3 linked regions of the Struthio camelus genome follow. The protein of the gene in region 1 purifies or fractionates together with the protein of each later gene. This does not show direct contact. Links are inferred from orthologs where the notes say so. Each region holds a gene or a part of one and is shown on either strand. Other genes may lie near its edges. The genes, in order: ERLIN2, TMUB1 and RNF170.

Region 1 (3,744 bases):
CATCTCTGGCGCCCTTTTGCGCTTATTTAAGAGCTGTAAAATTTGGATTGACAAATATTGCAGGTATTTCATTCTTTATTTCTAAATGGTGCTGAATCCTTCTGACAGGCTTGTTATATATAACCCTAGGAGATCTATCAAGTGTAAAGATCAAATTATTCTATATTGACATTTTATATGTCTCTCTTATGTTTTTTAAGTCCCCTTCAACAATTATAGATGCAGAAGATTTAATATATTTTTGCATGGTCTGTCACTTTTCCGATTATTGCTCCTCTGTCTGGGCCAAACACGCATCCAAATAGGGAACAGCTTTTTTTAAACCGCCGGCAGCGTCCGCCTGTTGAGCCAGGAGGAGAGGCCACGATGGGCTGAGGTGGCCTGTCCCTGTGCCTGGGGCCGGGGCACCCCATGGGGCACGGTGCCGGTGTGCGAGCAGGGGGTCAGCGCGAGGGAGAATTGGGCTTTGGGGTGCATCCTGGGACACTGGGCATGGGGCATGGTGGCCTGTCCCCGTGCCTAGGGCCAGGGCACCCCGTGGGGCACAGCACCCACTGGCCTGCGTGCGAGCGAGGGGTCAGTGCAGGGCAGAACTGGGCTTTGGGACACACCTTGGGGGGCCTGGGGACAGGGCATGGCAGCCTATCCTTGCACCCAGGGCCAGGGTGCCCTGCGGGGCCGGGGGCTGTGTGCGAGCGAGGGGTCAGTGCAGGGCAGAACTGGGCCTCAGGGTGCTGGAAACCAGGCAAGGTGGCCGGGAACGGGAACCTAGGCCCGCACGAGGGACCAAGGCATCCGGGCCTGCCCAGCCAGCACCACCGGGGCGGGAGGAGCCGCCCAGGCACCGCGGGCAGCTGGGGAGCAGCGCCGGCCGCGTCCCCGAGAAGCCCCGGGGCGCCGGGCGGCGGCGGCCGGTCTCGAACCCGGGTCTCCGCGGCGGCAGCCCCGCAGCTCTGGCGCCCCCTGGCGGCGGCGGCGGGGGAGGGGGAGGGAGGCGGGGCAGGCGGGCGGAAGCGGGCGGGCGCGCGGCGATGGCGTCACGGCGGCGGCGGGCGGAAGCGGCGCGGCGCGCGGGGCGGCGAGCGGGGCGCGTTGCCGGGGCGACGCGCGGGGCCGGGGCCGGGCCATGGCCCAGCTGGGCGCCATCGCGGCGCTGGCGCTCAGCTTCCTGGCGGCCGCCTTCCTCTCGGCCATCCACAAGATCGAGGAGGGCCACATCGGCGTCTACTACCGGTGAGCGGCCCCGCGGGGCCCCCCGTCCCGTCCCGTCCCGTCCCGTCCCCGTTCTTCCCCCCCGCTCGGCGGGCCGCGCCGCCCCTGACGCTCTCCGTTTCCCTCCGCAGCGGCGGGGCGCTGCTGACCTCCACCAGCGGCCCCGGCTTCCACCTCATGCTGCCCTTCATCACCTCCTACAAGTCGGTGCAGGTGCTGCTGCGCGGCCGGGGCCTGGGCGGGGAGGGAGAGCGGGGGGGGCCCGGCCCGGCCCCGGTTCCCCCCCGCGGGCCGGCGGGAGCGGCGGCCCTCGCGGCCTCCCCGGCGGGGCTCTGGGGGCTCCTCAGCTTTGCTGCTGAAACCTTTCTCTCCTCAGACCACGCTGCAGACAGACGAGGTGAAAAACGTTCCCTGCGGCACCAGGTGAGCTCCGCTCTCCTCTCCCCCTCGGCTCTTGGTCCCTGCGGGGCCTTCCCCTCGGTTACGCGCTCCATCGCGCTTTAAAACGCATAACTCTGTCCTGACAGACTTGTCTTCCCTCCCTGGTCCTAGCTGAAAGCGCTGAAACCCCTTCTCTAAGCCCGTGCCCAAGCCGATGTGCGGGCGTCCCGAATGTCTCGGTGCCGCTTTCCCCCGAGTTAACGTAGACAACGCTGACAGGAGTCTCCGTGATCTCGTTCTTGATCTAGTTAAGTTTCTGCTGGGAACAGATTGCGTTTCAGCTGGTTTCAGAACACTTTCCGAGCCTAATCTTTCCTGTAGCGGTCTACGTGCACAACTCTAATACTCTGAAACTTGCATTCTCTGTTTTGCCAGTCTGAAAACTGAAGCGCAGGAAGGAAGTGAACAGCTCAATGTCTCAGGAGAGCTGCAACTAGGAAAAGGACTCAGGAGTTTGCATTTCCCTATGGTAGCCACTAGTAATTGGTCTTTTCAAACCTGGGCCCACATACTGTGATCCAGTTCCTAAAGGACACTTGTAGCTAAAACCCTGAGTCTGAGACGCTGAGCGGGATGTGAGGCTTTGCTGTAATGTCGCAGCGTGCTGCACTGAGGGCTGTAAATGTTGCACTCAGCCCACTAGAGGGGAGTGTCTTCTGCTCAGCGGCCATCTGGCTGCACAAGCAGAACGTTTGGCCACTAGTAAACTTTATTTTTCTTCTTCTTTTTTTTTAATCTTGTTTTTGCAGTGGGGGAGTGATGATTTATTTTGACAGAATTGAGGTGGTGAATTTCCTGATCCAAAGTGCAGGTGAGTTCCTCCCTTTGACCCTGCAACTCCTTGCACCCAACATCTGTGTGACTTTCCTTTCCCAGGGTTCTTTGTGCTCTGCTAGTGCAAGACAAGGTTAGGAGTTTGCGCATGCTTGTGCTGTGACTGATTTGGAGCTAGGGAGTACTGCTGGTATTCCTCTGTATACCTTGTAAAGCCCCTACTTCCTGGACTTAAACCTTTTAACTAGCTTTTCCAGACATTTGTGTGTTTATTAGTTCTTGCACACGCTTGTTCTGTGTTACTAATTGCTTCACTAATACCTGCATGTCATTATTACTTTTATTAGCCGTGTTATTACAGCTGGACTGGGCGTTGTGCTTCAGTGAAGAGCTTCTGTTTTGAATAATGACATGTGCAAGCAGTAGGGGAGACGGGGAGTCCGTGAGCAGAAGGCTGGCATCTGAGGCACAAAAGGAATGACCGATGCAGTCCTTTCCTCAGACTCTCCTTGTTAACATCCTGTTGTTTATGAGTATGGTCTTATTGCTGGGCTCATCAGCGTCCTGCTTTGGAGCCTCTGTCATACTGCAACTTCAGGATCCTCTCCCCCTGCTGTGCGCAGACCCTGCGGTCTCTCTATTCTGCAAGTCAGGCACGGTCCATGTGTGCCATCTTCCTGGCAGACATTTGCACATAGTGCAGAGAGGGCTGATATGACTTAGGTGTTATTCTTCTCACAAAGCATGTGACAACACTGGCTAGAGTGTGGTGTACTGTTAGCAATAAGTAAAACTCCCCTGTCAGAATACGTGGACAAAGCGCTCGTCTGCAGTGCAGACTTCTCTTCTCTGGTGGGTGCTTTCTTGTTTCGCTGATTGGCACTGCATCTCTTGCTGTTGGTGGTGTGACTCAGCCATAAGCTTTCTACTGCAAGCATTTAGCCCCACCTGAGACATCCTCTGCACCAGCTGTTAACACTGGTTTCACTTCTTCTTTTGTAGTATATGACATAGTGAAGAACTACACAGCTGACTATGACAAAGCTCTTATCTTCAACAAGATTCACCATGAGCTGAACCAGTTCTGCAGTGTCCACACGCTGCAGGAGGTCTACATTGAGCTGTTCGGTGAGCTGCGTCTCTGACCTGTGACACTAGCTCTACAGGCTCGGTGCTGGGTTGATGGTTCCTTGAATGATGTTTCTGATAGCTGTCTGCGTGGTCTGTTGATACAGAAGTTGCTACCCTGTAACCGACGGGCTTTTACATATTAGTTGTATCTGCTCTGTTTTGAAACAGGATTGATAACCAGCTATA
Region 2 (3,004 bases), on another chromosome or scaffold:
CCCTGGGGGGGGGAAGGACAGAGCGCCCCGGGGGGGAAGGACAGAGCGCCCGGGGGGGGGAAGGACAGAGCACCCCGGGGGGGAAGGACAGAGCACCCCGGGGGGGAAGGACAGAGCGCCCCGGGGGAAGGACAGAGCGCCCGGGGGGGAAGGACAGAGCGCCCGGGGGAAGGACAGAGCGCCCGGGGGGGGAAGGACAGAGCACCCGGGGGGGAAGGACAGAGCACCCGGGGGGGAAGGACAGAGCGCCCGGGGGAAGGACAGAGCGCCCGGGGGGGGAAGGACAGAGCGCCCGGGGGGGGAAGGACAGAGCACCCGGGGGGGAAGGACAGAGCGCCCGGGGGAAGGACAGAGCACCCGGGGGGGAAGGACAGAGCACCCGGGGGGGAAGGACAGAGCGCCCGGGGGAAGGACAGAGCGCCCGGGGGGGGAAGGACAGAGCGCCCGGGGGGGGAAGGACAGAGCGCCCGGGGGGGGAAGGACAGAGCGCCCCGGGGAAGGACAGAGCACCCCGGGGGGAAGGACAGAGCGCCCGGGGGGGGAAGGACAGAGCGCCCGGGGGGGGAAGGACAGAGCACCCCGGGGGGAAGGACAGAGCGCCCCGGGGAAGGACAGAGCGCCGCACTCTGCAGCCCCGTGTCCCTGCCTGCCGGTCTGGGCCGAGGCCCGGGCACCCCCCGTGCTGGACCCCTCGGCCCGGCCCGGCCCGGCCGATGCCGGGACCCCAGAGCCGGCTCGGCCCCCCGGGGCACGGGGCCTCGGCGCGGCCCCCCGCCGCCCCGCTCACAGAACTACACCTCCCGGCATGCCCCGCGCGCCCCGCGCAAACCCTCCCCCTCGCGCATGCGCCGCGGAGGTCGCCGCGCCTCCCGGCCCGCCTTGCGAGCGGGCGGGAACTACCCGCCCCGAGAGCCCGTGCGCGGGGCGCGGCCAGGACTACCGCTCCCGGCATGCCGCGGGGCGGGGCGGAGCCATCCCGTCGTGCCTTGCGGCGGGGGCCGGTTCCCCCGGCCCGGGAGTCCGCGCGCGGGGCGGAAGTGGAGCGCGCCGGGATGGCGGCAGGTGAGGGGCCGGGGCCGGGGCCGGGGCCGGGGCCGGGGCCGGGGGGCGGCGGCGGCGCGGGCTGCCGCAGGGCGGCGCGCCCGGGAGCAGCGGGAGTGCGGCGGCGCCCCTCGGCGCCTTCCGCCGCCGCCTCACGGCGCTGCTGTGTGCCCGCAGGTCGGTAGCCGCCGCCGCCGCCATGGCGCTGATCGAGGGCGTGGGCGACGAGGTGACCGTGCTCTTCGCGCTGCTGCTGGCCGCCGTGGTGCTGGGGCTGGCCTGGGCCTCCACCCGCGCCCCCGAGCCCGCCGAGCCGCCGCGCGGCCCCGCGCCGCCCCGCGCCGCCCCGCCGCTGCCCGAGCAGGGCCCCAGCGCCGGCCCGCCCGGCGGCCAGCCCAAGGCGGCGGCAGCGGCGGCGGCGGCGGCCCCCGATGGGCCCGGCGGGCTGGCGGCGGGGCTGCGGCCCCGGGCCGGCCCCGGGCCCGCGCAGGACGCCCCCGGCGAGGCGGGCGACCCCGCCGACCCCACCATGGTGCTGCGGCTGAAGTTCCTCAACGACACGGAGCGCCTGGCCCGGGTCCGCCCCGGCGACACCGTGGGGGCCCTGAAGAGGTGAGGAGCCGGGCAGGCGGCAGCCGCCCCGCTCGTTCCCTGCTGGCGGCTGTCCGGTTTGCCCGCCCCCAGCCCTGGTTTCTCTTTCCTGCCCTTCCTTGAAGTCGCTGTGAGCTCGGAGCTGCTGCCGTTTGGGCTCGATCCTGCCCGTCTCGGGATACTCGGACAGCATGTTCTAGCGGGCACCTTTGATCCTAGCAGCATGTCTGACACGGCTGAGGGCAAAGCCTGGAGGAGGGGGGTGCAGCCAGGCTTCCCGCACTCAGGGCAGATGGCGAGCATGTTTGCAGCCTGGTCTGGGGTTGGGGGGGAAATACTAAGGCAGAAGGTAGATGGGAGGGACTGCGTATTGGTGGAAGCATGACGTTTCTCTCCTTGTCTTCTCCAACCCAGGGCCTATTTCCCAGGCCAGGAGCAGCAGGTGCGGCTGATCTACCAGGGCCAACTGCTGCGAGATGACGCTCAGAGCCTGGCTGCCCTGCACCTCACCCACAACAGCGTCCTGCACTGCCACATCTCCCAGCACAGCCCGGCCCCTGCGCCCACCGGCCCCCACACTTCTGCTGACCCCGTGCACACAGCCCTCAACGTGGGCAGCCTCATGCTGCCGCTCTTTGTGCTCATGCTGGCTGTGCTCTGGTACTTCCAGCTGCAGTATCGACATGTCTTCACTGCCACTGCAACCACCTTCTTGGCTGGCCTCACCTTGCTGTTCAGTTTCATGGCCTTCACCATGTACCGCAGATAGCATTATCCCTGCACCCCTGAAAGGATCCTACAAGCCCTCCTACCTGGGAATAAACTTTGTACTGGGTGCAGTTTGCCCACTGCACCTGAACACGAGGGGGAGTCTGGGCTATTGACTACGTCTCCTGGTTTTTCTAGGGGGACTGTGTAACAGACTCGCCGGATCTGAGGGAGTCCGATCAGGGCTTGAGCCCTGACGTCTAGCCTAGGAGGTTGGCAGTCTGTGGCCCGTGTTCTGTAGTCCTTTGGCTCCTTTCTCTTTATGGCAGAGGGAGAAGGGGTGCTGCTGTAAGGGAGTCCCTACCTGGAGCCTGGCAGTGCTAGTTCTGTGCTACTGCCGGAGCCTTAACTGTTGCAAGTGCAAAGTGTTGTGCTACCTCTGGGGAGGGGAACTACTATATTGCAAGGAGCAAGTTCCTCTCTAACAGGAGGGGTTGAGGTGTCTTGAAGTGGTCCTGTTGGCCCCTGCTAAGAGGAATCCTGCTGTGCAAATGGAGCCCGTCCAAGCTCACCTGCCCCCATCTGCTGTTTGCACGTGTTTTGTGCGCAGGCTGGGTGCTCCTCTTCACATGCTTGCTCATCCACAAACTTGTGTATGGTGTAA
Region 3 (3,744 bases), on another chromosome or scaffold:
ACTGAAGATTCAGTGAAGACTCCCCTCTTCCCCAGGAGAAACCATAGTCTTCTAATTCTCACTCTGCATTTTGTGAATTCCTTCACTAGCTCACAAATAGTTTAATCTCACGCAATCTTTTAAAATTAAATTGAAATATTATCACTTCAAATCGAATTTGAACACCATATTTTAAGTGAATATTAGAAGATTTTTAGTCCTGGAATCTTTTCAGACCTGATATAGACTTCTGTACAAATGCTGCATTTCAACTAAATATTCTCAGGCTATTAACAATTTTATCCAACCTGTGATTGAATAAAGGGTAGGATCAACAAGTTCAAATCACTGTTTACAGACCAGTAAATTACAGACAACAGAAAATTCAGTACCTATCACTCTGCAGCAACTCACATATTTCAAGTATATCAGTCCACATGCAGATGACTGGACTCCTAGCAAAGGGCTGGTCTGTTAGTTACTTCGAAGGTTAAGGAGTCAAGATAGCATTTGAGACTGGGACCACTGGCTAGGTTAGCGTTCATCTTATGCTTCTCCCAGCGATGTGACTACTTTATTGCCAAAGAGCACCAGAGGATCACACGTAAAACAGCTAAAGCACGCGAGCACAGGGAAAGTAGCGACACACGGCAACAGATCTTCCATCCACCCCCAATACAACTTATTTCCCCCCCCCCCCTCATAATGAGCCTCTTGCTTGGCCTTTCTTCACCAAGAGTCACACACATCTACTTCCTCATGAATTCCAACAGTAGGAGGATTCTCATTTCTTTCCCAATATCTGAAAAAGGAATCCTGGGAGCCCAAAGGCAGGACAAGTGGCCAATGCTTCTGGAAGGTGCAAGGACTGGCAGGGATGTGAAGGGAAGTGAAACAGAGTTACTTACTCTCAAGTTACTTATTCCATTTACGTGCATAAAGCAGGAGAGTAGCCATGGCATTGCATTATATACTGTTCCCCTAAGCCTCAGTCTTCTGTACATTCTGGGCCACCTGCTCACCTTCAACACTCAGTGAATCTTCCTGGCTTGTCCACTTTTGACTTTCACAGAAAAAGCTAAACTACCATTCCCCAGCAACTTACTCACCATCACAGTTTTATCCAGCTCCGACCTTTCACAGACTAAATATCTAGAAGAGTAAGTATATAGCTCTTTTCAACTGTCAGTCATATTCCAGAGTTGCACACAATGGGTATTTACTTGCCAATACTGTTAATGGAAAGACAACATCAACAAAAGGGAAAAAAAAAAAGAAAAAAAACCACAAATCCAGTGGCTCCAAACAGCTCACCGATGAATCAGCTGCTACAGAAAATGCCAGCTCCAAGGATATGGCACAGTCACCGCTCCAAACGTGGAGCAGCGCTTGCAAACCCCGGTCCCCCGTCCAGTAAGTTTGGACTGCTCTGCGAAGAACAGCGCAACCTGAACGCGCTCATGGACCAAAGCCCCAAGGTGAAGATGAAGTAAAGGTAACGGCAAGAGGAGGGGGGAGGGAAAGGGGGGGGGTGTAACCTTGACTTCACAGGTGAACGCCGCCCCTCGGGGCTCAAGGGGAAAAAGAAAAAAAAATAAAAAGAAGAAGACGAAACAGACGGGAAGAAAGAAAGTTTCCGGGTAAAAAAGGCTGCGGGGGGCGGGCGGGGCCCGGGCACCCCGCGGCGCCGCCGGTAGAGGCGCGGAGCCGAGGCAGCCGGGGCCGGGGGAGGGGGGCCGCTGCCCGCCGCGGGGCGCCGGCTCCTTTGTTCGGGGTGGGGGGCAGCGCCGCGGCCGGAGGCGAGGTGGGGTAGGGCGGCCGCGGCAGGGCTCGGGCCCACCGGCGGGCGGGGCGGCGGCCTTGGCGACGGCGATGGCGGCGCCCTTCTCCCCACCCCCCCCCCAACCCCAACCCGCTCCAATCTCCGCGGCGGCGGCCGGGGCGGGTGCACGGAGCCGTGTCCCCGGCGGGCGGCGCCGCTCCGGGCGCGGCGAGGCGGCCGCGGCACTCACCCAGGTGAGGAGGCTCTCGCCGAGCTCGGCCCGCTCCAGGCTCTCCACGTTGAACATGGCGGCGCGGCGGCGGCCGCGCGGGGCTAACGGCCGCGGCCCGCTCGCGTCGCGTCCTGTGGCGGCGCCCCCCTTTCCCCCCTCTCCCCCCCCCCCCCGCGTCCCGGGCCTGGGCTGTGGCGTCGACACGTCACCGCGACCTCCCAGGAACCGCCCGCGCGCCCCCAGCGCGCATGCGCCCCTGACGCGCCGCGCCGCTGTCGGCCGAGCCCGGCCGCGGAGTGGAGGGAGGGGTGGGGGGGGGGCCGCGGGGCGGGGCAGCGGCGGCGGCGGCGAGCGTCGCGCGCGCCGGGAGCTGAGGTACCGCCGCGCGGGCCGCGCCCCTCCCCCACGCCGCTGAGGGGAGGCGGCGGCGGCGGCGCCCCGACCCGGCCCGGCGGGGAGCCTTCTCCCTTCTCCTCTTCTCCCCTTCCCTCCTCTCGCCGTGCCGCCCTAGCCGGCGAGGGTGCGGAGGGGCGGGGCGGGGGGGCCCGTGTTGCCTGGCTGGCCGGTTGGCGGGCGGCGCGGGGGAGCCGTTAACGGGCGCGGGGGAGCCGTTAACGGGCGCGTGGGCGCTCGCGCATTGCGCAGGCTGGGCGAGCGCGGCCGGTGCCGAACTGTGGTGCTGGCGGTTACACAACACCGCGGGTGCGCAAGGCTGGCGCCGCGGTTAGCTTTTTTTTTGTTTTATTTTTTTTTCCCCTCCCCCTTTTCCCCTTCTTCCCCCAGCCCAGTAGCACTTGCGTGCCGACAAAAAGCAGGTTCCCCCGGGGGAGGGGGGTGGTCCTCTGGAGAGGCCCTGCCGCAGGCTGACTGCTCTTGCCTCGTTTCTCTCCCCCCCCCCCCCCGGTCCTGCAGCCCCGACGCGCACGTAGGAGCCGGCCTGGTGGGTCTCTGGTGGGTAGCGGGTAGGGCCCCGGCCTCTGCCGCTCTCTGACTTCAGCAGTGTGGACTGGTGAGGTTGCTGCACCCCAGGAAAGGCACTTGCTAGTAAGTAGTGCAGTCTGACACGTGGCAAGAGCAGCCTTTAAAAGGAGATTTCCTTTTTTTTTTTTTTTCCCCCTCTTCTCTCTGCTGTAGAAAATGACGTTAGCTCCCTCTCAGCAAAATGTTGCTATCATAAAAGTTAATCTATTAAATCAGATTAGTTGTGGATAACTCAATTCACGTTTAACCTTAATAGGAGATTATTTCTTGGCTAGTGTGGCTCTGCCTCCCTACTTCCTTGGCTAGAGGAGCTCTACATCAGACTGTAAAGGGGTTGCCTGAAGGGTTCAGCAAACTCGTTTTCAGTAATCAGCTGAATTTTGCCCCAGCTGAAGCTTCTAATGAGAATATCAGATGTAATATTAAGTTATACAGATCCCGGCTCATTAGTCACTGAGCTGGCATGTGGCATCATGGAGTAGCAAGCATGGTACGCTAGTAACGCGGACGAGAGTTGCATAAACAACCGAGAAAGAAAGTGTTGCGCATCTAAATACTGTCATTTTGTTCCTATTTTCTCACAGTTCTTGCATTAAATGAGCAAATAGCATGGACAAAATCTTGATATTACTTTATGTCAGCCTGTTTCAATTGAAAGTGTGTTACAAGAGCTGTGAAAACTCTCCCGCTTATTCAGAAAAGTATCTTCTCCCTGATGTCATAGCATAACCAGCTATTTTCATTTTCAAGTTTTGAATTCAGCCTCTTACCTTTTAAGAGCAGCTGTCAA

Evidence for each region.
Region 2: the proteins of ERLIN2 (region 1) and TMUB1 purify together in Homo sapiens (affinity purification with mass spectrometry; 4 studies listed by BioGRID and IntAct, with this or other methods). This does not show direct contact. The link is inferred for Struthio camelus from reciprocal best matches to the Homo sapiens genes ERLIN2 and TMUB1.
Region 3: the proteins of ERLIN2 (region 1) and RNF170 purify together in Homo sapiens (affinity purification with mass spectrometry; 4 studies listed by BioGRID and IntAct, counting the BioPlex papers as one, with this or other methods). This does not show direct contact. The link is inferred for Struthio camelus from reciprocal best matches to the Homo sapiens genes ERLIN2 and RNF170.

Annotation. Positions count from the first base shown.
Region 1 is NC_090968.1:6,912,676-6,916,419, forward strand, and holds the start of ERLIN2 (erlin-2), read left to right. Parts: upstream 1-1,069; 5' UTR 1,070-1,126; coding exon 1,127-1,233; intron 1,234-1,343; coding exon 1,344-1,425; intron 1,426-1,588; coding exon 1,589-1,635; intron 1,636-2,402; coding exon 2,403-2,464; intron 2,465-3,429; coding exon 3,430-3,555; intron 3,556-3,744. UniProt on the Homo sapiens protein: Component of the ERLIN1/ERLIN2 complex which mediates the endoplasmic reticulum-associated degradation (ERAD) of inositol 1,4,5-trisphosphate receptors (IP3Rs) such as ITPR1.
Region 2 is NC_090943.1:453,579-456,582, forward strand, and holds TMUB1 (transmembrane and ubiquitin-like domain-containing protein 1), read left to right. Parts: upstream 1-994; 5' UTR 995-1,062; intron 1,063-1,218; 5' UTR 1,219-1,240; coding exon 1,241-1,653; intron 1,654-2,046; coding exon 2,047-2,401; 3' UTR 2,402-2,496; downstream 2,497-3,004. UniProt on the Homo sapiens protein: Involved in sterol-regulated ubiquitination and degradation of HMG-CoA reductase HMGCR. Involved in positive regulation of AMPA-selective glutamate receptor GRIA2 recycling to the cell surface.
Region 3 is NC_090982.1:12,001,542-12,005,285, reverse strand, and holds the start of RNF170 (E3 ubiquitin-protein ligase RNF170), read left to right. Parts: upstream 1-1,489; 5' UTR 1,490-1,619; intron 1,620-1,991; coding exon of another isoform or gene 1,992-2,048; exon of another isoform or gene 2,049-2,139; intron 2,140-2,231; exon of another isoform or gene 2,232-2,281; intron 2,282-2,284; exon of another isoform or gene 2,285-2,348; intron 2,349-2,885; 5' UTR 2,886-3,017; intron 3,018-3,744. Other genes in the region: HOOK3 (protein Hook homolog 3), read right to left, coding at 1,992-2,048. UniProt on the Homo sapiens protein: E3 ubiquitin-protein ligase that plays an essential role in stimulus-induced inositol 1,4,5-trisphosphate receptor type 1 (ITPR1) ubiquitination and degradation via the endoplasmic reticulum-associated degradation (ERAD) pathway.